Linked DNA regions of Danio rerio. The protein of the gene in region 1 purifies or fractionates together with the protein of each later gene. This does not show direct contact. Links are inferred from orthologs where the notes say so. Each region holds a gene or a part of one and is shown in the gene's direction. Other genes may lie near its edges.

What was found.
Region 2: the proteins of naa30 (region 1) and naa38 purify together in Homo sapiens (co-immunoprecipitation; 3 studies listed by BioGRID and IntAct, with this or other methods). This does not show direct contact. The link is inferred for Danio rerio from reciprocal best matches to the Homo sapiens genes NAA30 and NAA38.

Annotation. Positions count from the first base shown.
Region 1 is NC_133192.1:49,448,624-49,453,190, forward strand, and holds the start of naa30 (N-alpha-acetyltransferase 30), read left to right. Parts: upstream 1-1,629; 5' UTR 1,630-1,822; coding exon 1,823-2,596; exon of another isoform or gene 2,597-2,788; intron 2,789-4,567. UniProt on the Homo sapiens protein: Catalytic subunit of the N-terminal acetyltransferase C (NatC) complex. Catalyzes acetylation of the N-terminal methionine residues of peptides beginning with Met-Leu-Ala and Met-Leu-Gly.
Region 2 is NC_133180.1:59,192,550-59,197,067, forward strand, and holds the start of naa38 (N-alpha-acetyltransferase 38, NatC auxiliary subunit), read left to right. Parts: upstream 1-1,517; 5' UTR 1,518-1,553; coding exon 1,554-1,598; intron 1,599-4,210; exon of another isoform or gene 4,211-4,270; intron 4,271-4,518.

The DNA of each region.
Region 1 (4,567 bases):
CCCATTCAGAATTTAGCCATCTGAATAATAAAAATTAAAACATAATAATAATAGTAGCCTAATAATAATATAGAGCTTCGCAATTTTTCTAGCCTCTCTTGAAAAAAAAAAGTACAATTGAATATTCATGGATAACAACATTAGGCCTAGCCAAATTAATATTTAAATTATTTTAATATGGGACGCTTTTGGTGCCTCACACCTTTTTACTGGTCAGTTTTTTTTTTTTTTTTCAGTAGGTCCCAGATTTAAAACAAAAGTTACTTGCTAAATGCTATTTAAAAATAATACAGCAGAGAAAGATGACTTCACTTACGTCAAATCGTGTTCTCTTGCACAGCTGCATTTTGGAATGATAGTTAGCACTTTGTATTAATCAAAACTGATTAGCTGAAGTCACACTGAAACAACAGCCAAGGATTCCACTTGGTTTTAAAGCCATTTTCGATGGGTTATTTTCACTATTATTTATGATGGCATAGCAGTCAAAATAGTACAAATGAGGACATCTATGAGACAAATTTTGGACAGTTGCCAGTGAGAGGTGGGTCTTTCGAACAACCCGAAGCCTTTGGCTACGGGCCTGCATTTGGTTTTGATACTCCACATGGATGTACTTCATGGTACATCCATGAACACCCACGGTGGGACCCCGGGGAAACGTCTCACATAATTGGATGTCTGGGTCCATCTAGTGGCTCTTCTTGGAAAACGTATTTAGCATTGTCATCTAAAACGATAAAAGCAAATGAGAACTGTCTGTAGCCAAGTGACTTTGCGAAGGTCATGGTTTGAAATCATGGTTTAAATGGTTTTTAAGTTAATTAAATTCCACGTTTCTTTAAAAAGTATTACTTGTTTGGATGTAATTAAAATGTAGCCTACATATATTTGTGCAGTCAGCTGTTGTTTCTAAACCAGTTACAAGGACAGATCTTGTGACGTCAAAATAGCATTGGCCAGAAAATTTTAAAGAAAACTTTATTATGATTAACAACAGAAAGGCTGTCATATAACAACATTTACTAAGACAGCTTAATTAAGCATAATTAGCCTACATATGACCTTCTAATAAATTAAACCAATACTCAATGAACAAAACAAACATACAAAAACGTTTAACTAACAAACAGTTGCAAACTGTATGACTTATATCCATCTCCTTGTCTAAAATATCTATTCCTCTTAAAAAAATCATGTATCCGGATGGATAAAAATACAATTTGCAACTTTAATAAAACTAACAGAATATTTACAGCATGCATTTTGTCTTTGCTTTAACAAATGTAAATCTAACATCCCATTTAAACTTTCAGTTAAGCAGCAGGTGCAATACGTATCCATGTTCATCTCAATCGAATATACGTGATACATGAATTATGATACATTCAGTGATATTTGATATTTCACGTGACATTTAATGAAAATTGTTGTTAAGAATTTATTCATGAGAACGACGTATTAATATACTAAATAAAAAATGCATCGTGCGCCGTGAAACCCTAACGTAACCCACTAAACCCCAAAGTCATCCAGGAAGTACAGTGTGATACATCAACAACTCAATTTCCCGGCAACCTTTACGCCGAAGCGCCGACATAGTGTCGTAAATCATCCACCCTGCTTTACGGCAGATAATAGGCCAGTGTGGAGTGAATTGAGTAATGGCAGGAACAGACACGAGATAGTCCACGAACTTTGAGTGATTCCTAAATTTATCAGGTACCAGCAGCCGGACGGACGCCTGTCTTCGTCGCCGTTGGCTGAGAGAGGCTGATTCCCACCCCGTTTTTCTGTCAACATAGCAACTGTATGCAGTGGAATGGCTGAAGTGCCGCCTGGGCCTAACGCACTGCCTTCATCCCCGAGCGAGATCACACCGCTGCCCGTGGACGGGTGCACCTTACTGGGTAAAGATGACGGACGGGACATCATCGGCCCCGGCCCGGGACACCAGCACGCCAGCGAGCATAAAACGATAGCCAAATCCAACCAGAACAACGTGCATCCCAACGCAACAGCCGCCCAGTTTCACACAGCCCAGCTGAACGGGGTCCAGTGCAACCACACTCACCTCCAGAATCACGTCCAGCAACACCGGCCGTCAGACAATCAAAACGCCGCTTCCGATCACCACGGCGAACCGGAGGGCGATCACACGGAAAACAACAACTGCACGCGAAATAAAAGATGTAGTGATCTAATATCCCAGAGTCAACCGCCGCCGAACAACGGACTAAACTGCACGGACGGCATGGCGATCACGGAGAGCAGCTCTTGCCGACCAGAGAACGATGTAAGTAGTAGGACTGGTGCGGCGGATGCGGCGACGCTGGTGCTGGACGGGGCTGGATCAGAATCAGGCCCGGGCCCGCAGGCCGCTGGAGTTGAGCAGGCAGCGGCTGACAGCGCTCCGGTTGCGGAGATGTCGAGACTGGCGCTGGAGGAGCACGACGAGTCTATCCGATACGTGAGATACGAGTCCGAGCTCCAGATGCCCGATATCATCCGACTCATAACGAAAGACTTATCTGAGCCCTACTCCATATACACCTATAGGTACTTTATTCACAACTGGCCTCAGCTCTGCTTTCTGGTATGTATCATGACATTCGCTTATTCTTGATGGGACTGAAGAGCTCAGTACTGCTGTACGTTAGCTTTCAAAACCATCTCTGATACAACAACGTGTGAGTTGTGTGTGATGTTGTCATGGTTAACGTTAACAAAAGATTATTTCCTGTTGTTATTACTCTGGTAATTACTATTAATGTTTATATTATTGTAAGTCAAGAAATTAACATGAAACAGAATGTGTTAAAAACACGACATGATCATGTTAGCATCTTAGCCTGACTGGAATGAGCATGACATTACGCTACATTTCACCATGGTTTTTGTCAAAAACAAAACATGACCATTTAGAAATGTAGTCGCAAAACTTACCATTTCATTGTAGGTGATATGTTTGTTTATTTGTTTTTATATGCCCCGTTTGTTAAAGGGATAGTTTACAACAAAATGACAATAATGTTACTGTAATCATTGAAATTATCTATTAAATTCATCTATCTATTAACCGCAAAAGATATTCTGGAGAATGATTGAGGTAAAGTTAGATTTAAATTCGCACATTCATTCATTTAACGGCCCCTATATTGTTTAACTGTGCTACTTTTAATATATTGGTCTGAATTAGCATGCAAGAACATGAAAACAACATTAGCACCATTTAGTTATCTGTGAGCAATGTTGTACTTTAATAGTCATTGGCTATTAATATGATTTCCCTCTTAAAAATTGGCAAATAATACTTTTTTGAAATCACATTATCAAGGTAAATGTCTGAATGTCCGAATATAAAACCAACTTTACCTCTATTGAAGAATGTTGAAAGTTTGTAACCATTGACTTAGTAGTCAATTGATACATGTGTCCACCATTCTTCTCCAATATAACTTATTTTATGTTCAAAAGAACAACAAAAAAAAAACTTTAACTGTTTTGTAACAAGTAAAAGGTTAGAAAATGGTAACAGAATTGTCATTCCTGGGTAAACTCTCCCTTTAAAGTGATATCAAAGTTTAGTTTATGTACATGTTTTACCACATTAGACCCCTTCTCTGATATTTACCTTGTTTTCCTCCTTGATAGATACATTGTCTTTATAAGATATTGTTTTTATGCAAAAAAAAATAATATTTAGAAGGAAAAAGATAATATCAAGTGTTATGTGCATATCACCGTGGTATGACGTTGCACCTGTTAAACAATGCTACTAAGATCATCTGAACATGTATAAATGTATATGATTTATACAAAAAAAAAACATGGATCCAAAGGTTTATCATATAGTGAAGTTTTGATTAATTTCATCTTGTGAAGTCATTTGAATTACTCTTTTAGCAGGGATTTTTCATGTGAAAAATATGCTATCAAAAAGTATTCTGCTGCTGAATGTTAAGTGACAAAATTTAACCTCCATTGACATATCCATTATAGAAGTTTGGTTGTTACTCATTTGATGTATAAAATGCTATTGATTGATTAGTAATTTCCTAACTTTTATAATTTATAAGTGGATGTTAAAGTGTAGAACATGGTATTTCTCAAAAACACAACATGACTATATGTCATCCTTAAAGACCTATTCCTTTCCAGTAGCATCTTTAAAAACTAGTAGTTTTTTTTATTATTATTTTTTTAATGTAACTTGGTCTCTAATCTATGTTGACATGCATCATAATTCTGCACTGACTGGAGTCACTCCAATGATTGTACATGCTCAGTGAGTAGTGGTGCGAGTGCAGGGTGTTGAACTCTTAAGCATTACAGTAACAAGCTAAACTTAAAGGGTTGTACTGTAAATTGTTGACTTCATTTTCTTTCTCCTCAGTTTTTTTTTAAACTTGCTTGCAAATTCCCTGGCTTCTGTGTGAAATATAGTTAATATTCATTTTAGTGGTCTTTAAGGAAATTCACTTTTTTTTTAATAACCTCATTTAACAAGTCCCCTAGAGTTAAACAGTTGAGTTTTATAATTTTTTTTAAATCCATGCAGTCGATC
Region 2 (4,518 bases), on another chromosome or scaffold:
GGAGCATGAGCTCTAGCTCTGCCTCCTGTAAGCTGTTTTAATGCGTACACCAACCCAACCCCTAACCCTACCCCCAGTGTCATCACTCGAAGAAGAAGTGCTAAAAAGGTGGAGCTCAAGCTCCCCTTCGCTGGAGCTCAGCTCACCCAAATGGCTCTGCAGCGACCACCACTTGACTATATTCTCTGTTTGATTGGTATACCGTTATTTATTTTATTTTTTTTAATTCAGATTGGTCAATGGTCCATTTTAACGATAGGTGGCGGTAATGTACGTAGAAGCCTGGTCAATGGTCCATTTTAGCGATAGGTGGCGGTAATGTACGTAGAAGCCTGGTATCTACCGTAAAGCAAACTGTTTAAGAAGGAGAAAGTATGCACATGGTCCGGAGGCTCTAAAGCTGCGTCCCAAATCGCATACTTATGCACTATTTTACACCATTTTGTAGTATAAATAGTGTTAGTAGTGTACTTTAATTACCCGGATGATGCACTCATTCAGCCGCTAAAATGAAGTGTGGAATGATGGACACTTCACGCACTCAACGACCGCAGGTTTGCTTACTTAGCGGAAGGGGCGGAGCGATCGGACGCACATGTTGAACAACTTTATTTATTTTGGATGGTGAAAGCAAAATTCTCCTACGAGAGTGATTATAGCGCCTCCCGATGGTGAATGCAGCAATACTCACGGCAGGTATTACTTGATAATTCAGTCGTTTATTTCACTGATTTGGCAACAGTCAAACGTCATCAGGGAAACGGTTTGAATTTCCGCTTAGTAAAAATACATAAGTGTGCCATTTGGGACGACACTACATACATATACTATCCTGTTGAGTGTGTAAGTGCATATAAGTACATAGTGCATGAGTGCATAGTGTATAGTGTGCCATTTGGGACGCAGCTTAAGAGAAGCTGCGTCCCAAATCGCATACTTATGCACTATTCTACGCCATTTTGTAGTATAAACAGTGTAAGTAGTGCGTTCACACTGAAAACTCTAATAATAATAAGTGCACTTTAATTACCCGGATGATGCACTCATTCAGCGCTAAAATGAAGTGTGTAATGATGGACACTTCACGCACTCAACGACCGCAGGTTTGCTTACGTAGCGGAAGGGGCGGAGCTATCGGACGCACATGTTGAATAACTTTATTTAATTTGGATGGTGAAAGCAAAATTCTTTTACGAGAGTGATTATAGCGCCTCCCGATAGTGATTGCGGCAAACCTCACGGCAGGTATTATTTGATAATTCGGCCGTTTACTTCAATGATTTGGCATCAGGGAAACGGTTTGAATTTCCCGCTTAGTAAAAAAAAAAACATTAGTGTGCCATTTGGGACAACACTACATACATATACTACCCTGTTGAGTGTGTAAGTGCATAAGTACATAGTGCATGAGTGCATAGTGTATAGTGTGCCATTTAGGACGCAGCTAGTGTCTCTGATCCATAACCCACAGTAGGTGGCGGTAATGCTCTGATAAGAATGCGAACCGCCAATAAACACCAGGAAAAAGAAGAAGAAGAAGTCCGGAGGCTCTAATGGCATCACAGAGGGAAGAGAACAGCACACAAATGCAAAATGAGGTATGGCTAAATAGACCTGCACCTACCTTAATCACACAGCGTTATTTCTTATATGTGAACTTCTAAAGTGTCGAATGGCGTTGTGTATGACTTTATGTGTATACAATATGATCCGATCAATGCGCAATGAGAAACGACAACGATGAAGTAGTGTTATAAAAGCGACTTGTGTAAATATCTTAATCTTAATATTGTTTTATTCGGAACAATGCATACCGATGTCCCTGTAGCCATAAGCGAGTTTGTTTATATGCATGTTCCTAACCAGAAGATGCTTGATGAGCCCGACATATAAACGCACAACAACTAAAGGAGTGCTTTTTTTTATAAGATTTAAATTGAAAAATGTCTCTATTCAAGCATGCATGCGAATTTTTGCCCCCAAATACCCTGCAGTTAAGTTTAATAGTTAACACTGCCACTCTTTAAGAATGATTAAAAACGTTTTTGTTTGACCTTTTAAATGCTTTAAGTTTGTGCACTAACGTTAGTCCCCTTTTCTCATCTTCTGCTGTTGTGATGCGTTGTTCTTTGCAAATAGACATTAAATTATTACGTTGTTTACACTTGCTTACTGACTTTTTAAACTGAGCAGTGTAACTTGTCGTTCCTATATGTATGTTTGTTTGACTGTGTTGTTAAGTTAGCAATGATTTGGCATGTTCAGTCCATGTGAGATGGCCAGTCACGGTTACATAAAAATATATATTACATTTTCAAGGAGGACAACATGACTTGAAAACGCTATGCCATTGCTTTGTGGATTCAAAATAAAAGCATTTTAAAGCAAAGAAAACGCACAGGATGTATTTTCTGCAGATTCTTTGAACTTGATTTAGCATCATAAAAATAAGATTTTAATAAGTGTAATAGTCTCATAGGAGGAGCTTGATGGATAGGCACTGACTCCATATTCAAAAGTCTGTGTTTTAATCAGTCTACACTGAAACTCCGCCATAGCGTTTTCTAACCAAAATTAGTTCAACATTTTCAAATTGATCTTTTACAGGTCAAAGATGCTGTATTTGGGGTTACTCTATAGTAGAACTTAATTGTTTTAACCGGTTTTAACTGAAAACACTATAATGCAAATACAGCCTAGTATAAGCATGATATCTTTACAGAAAACCTAATCTGTTTAGAAAGTCAGCCATCTAATTGTTCTTTATGTAATCATTGTTTATGCATTACACAGACACCTTAACCCCTGATTCAGAATCAATTTACTAAACATTAGTTTTGCAAATTAAATGTAACCACTGTTTTTTATGGTTCAGATGGAGAGAGTCTGTGGAGAGTCCCGTCTTCATTGGTGCACAAATGACTTTTTGCTCTGACATTGTAGCTTTTCACTGGCTATTTTAAAGAGCATATTGTAGGTTAGACACCCCAGTGAGACAATGTGTGTAAGAGTGAAGTAAGAATTAGATTTTCTTTAAAATAAACGTTAAAGTTTATTATTAAGCCATTTGGAGTCGTTTTAAGTCACGGAAATTTACTTCTGCATTTGAATCGCCAGACCAGAAGTGACGTCTGATCAGGGAGTTTGCGCATATAAACACTATGAAGACAAAAAAAAAAAAAAAAACACACTATGAAGACAACTGATCGTGGTGCGCGTTTGGTTGCCGCAATAAGACATTCTGAGAGACTCACACAAATGACAGACCACAGCCATACAATTATAAGCCTGCGGACAGACCAGCAGACAGAACAGCAGTCTGAGAAGTGTAATTTAACTCTATTGTAAGGGAGAACAGAGCAGGTTTATGGTGAGGCCAGTGTTGGCTTACAGAGAGATATGTAAGATAACAAAATCTTATCTGGCAACAGCAAAGCTAGTATTGATCATCTATAAGTATTAATACTTACCAGTAACAGAAACTAATGAGCATTTAACACAGTTATGCCACATTGACACTATTTTTAATAGTAGACAAGTGAATACAAAACACAAATAACACAGAACGTCTAGAATAATACAGAAACATGTCAACAAGGTACTGGAAAATCTTTTTTATTTTACAAATAGTTTTCAGAGCTTCTGTATTAATATAAAAACAACATCAAATATTAAAACAATTAAAATAAGTTTTTAAATATGTCTTTTTGTCATTTTTTCATTGGGTATAAGGTTATCTGTATCGGATCCCATTTAGGCTACAATCCATAAAAAGACAAGTATAGTTGTTACAGTATAAAATATTTACAAAGATTTGATCAACAGATCTAATCTGCATTATGATTAAATAAACTTCAACCCTAATTCAAGTTCAAATTCTAAATGCAACCCAAGGTCGATTTTTATTTATATAGCACAAAATCATAAGCAGTGTTAATACCCAGCATTTTTACTCTTTATATATGTATAAGTATCTGTGTGAGTGTGTGTATACTGAAAGGAAAATATATCATCTGACCCATTTAAAAGTATTTAAAATTATTTTTCAGTAAGTTGGCCAACGCTTATGTGGGTACCACACCATCATGTCTTTAATGTGTTAAATTGTGAATGCTGTGTAAAAAGATGCCGACAGCTTCATCCTTGTAAACCCGCTGGAAGGATCTAGAAAGGAGAGCAAGTGTAGTGCAAAGTTCTGCATTCTCGTCGAGCCTGTGATGAACTCCAGTAGTCCACCGTCAGACACGCAGTGAGGGCTGATGCATATAATCTGGGGAAATAATGCAAAAGTTTAAATCATGTTTATTAATAATATATATTTTAAAATTCACCATATGATTTTTAATATAACACAATACAGAAAACCCAACCACATTTGCAGACCTCTGGATAGTGAACTGCAAACTAGAGGTCTGCATTCCCGCAGCTGTCCCGTGGGCGCCGCGGGACCCGACCAGATTTCTACGGCGCGGGTATAAATTTCCGAATAAATCACGGGAGTGGTCGGTAACGGGTTTA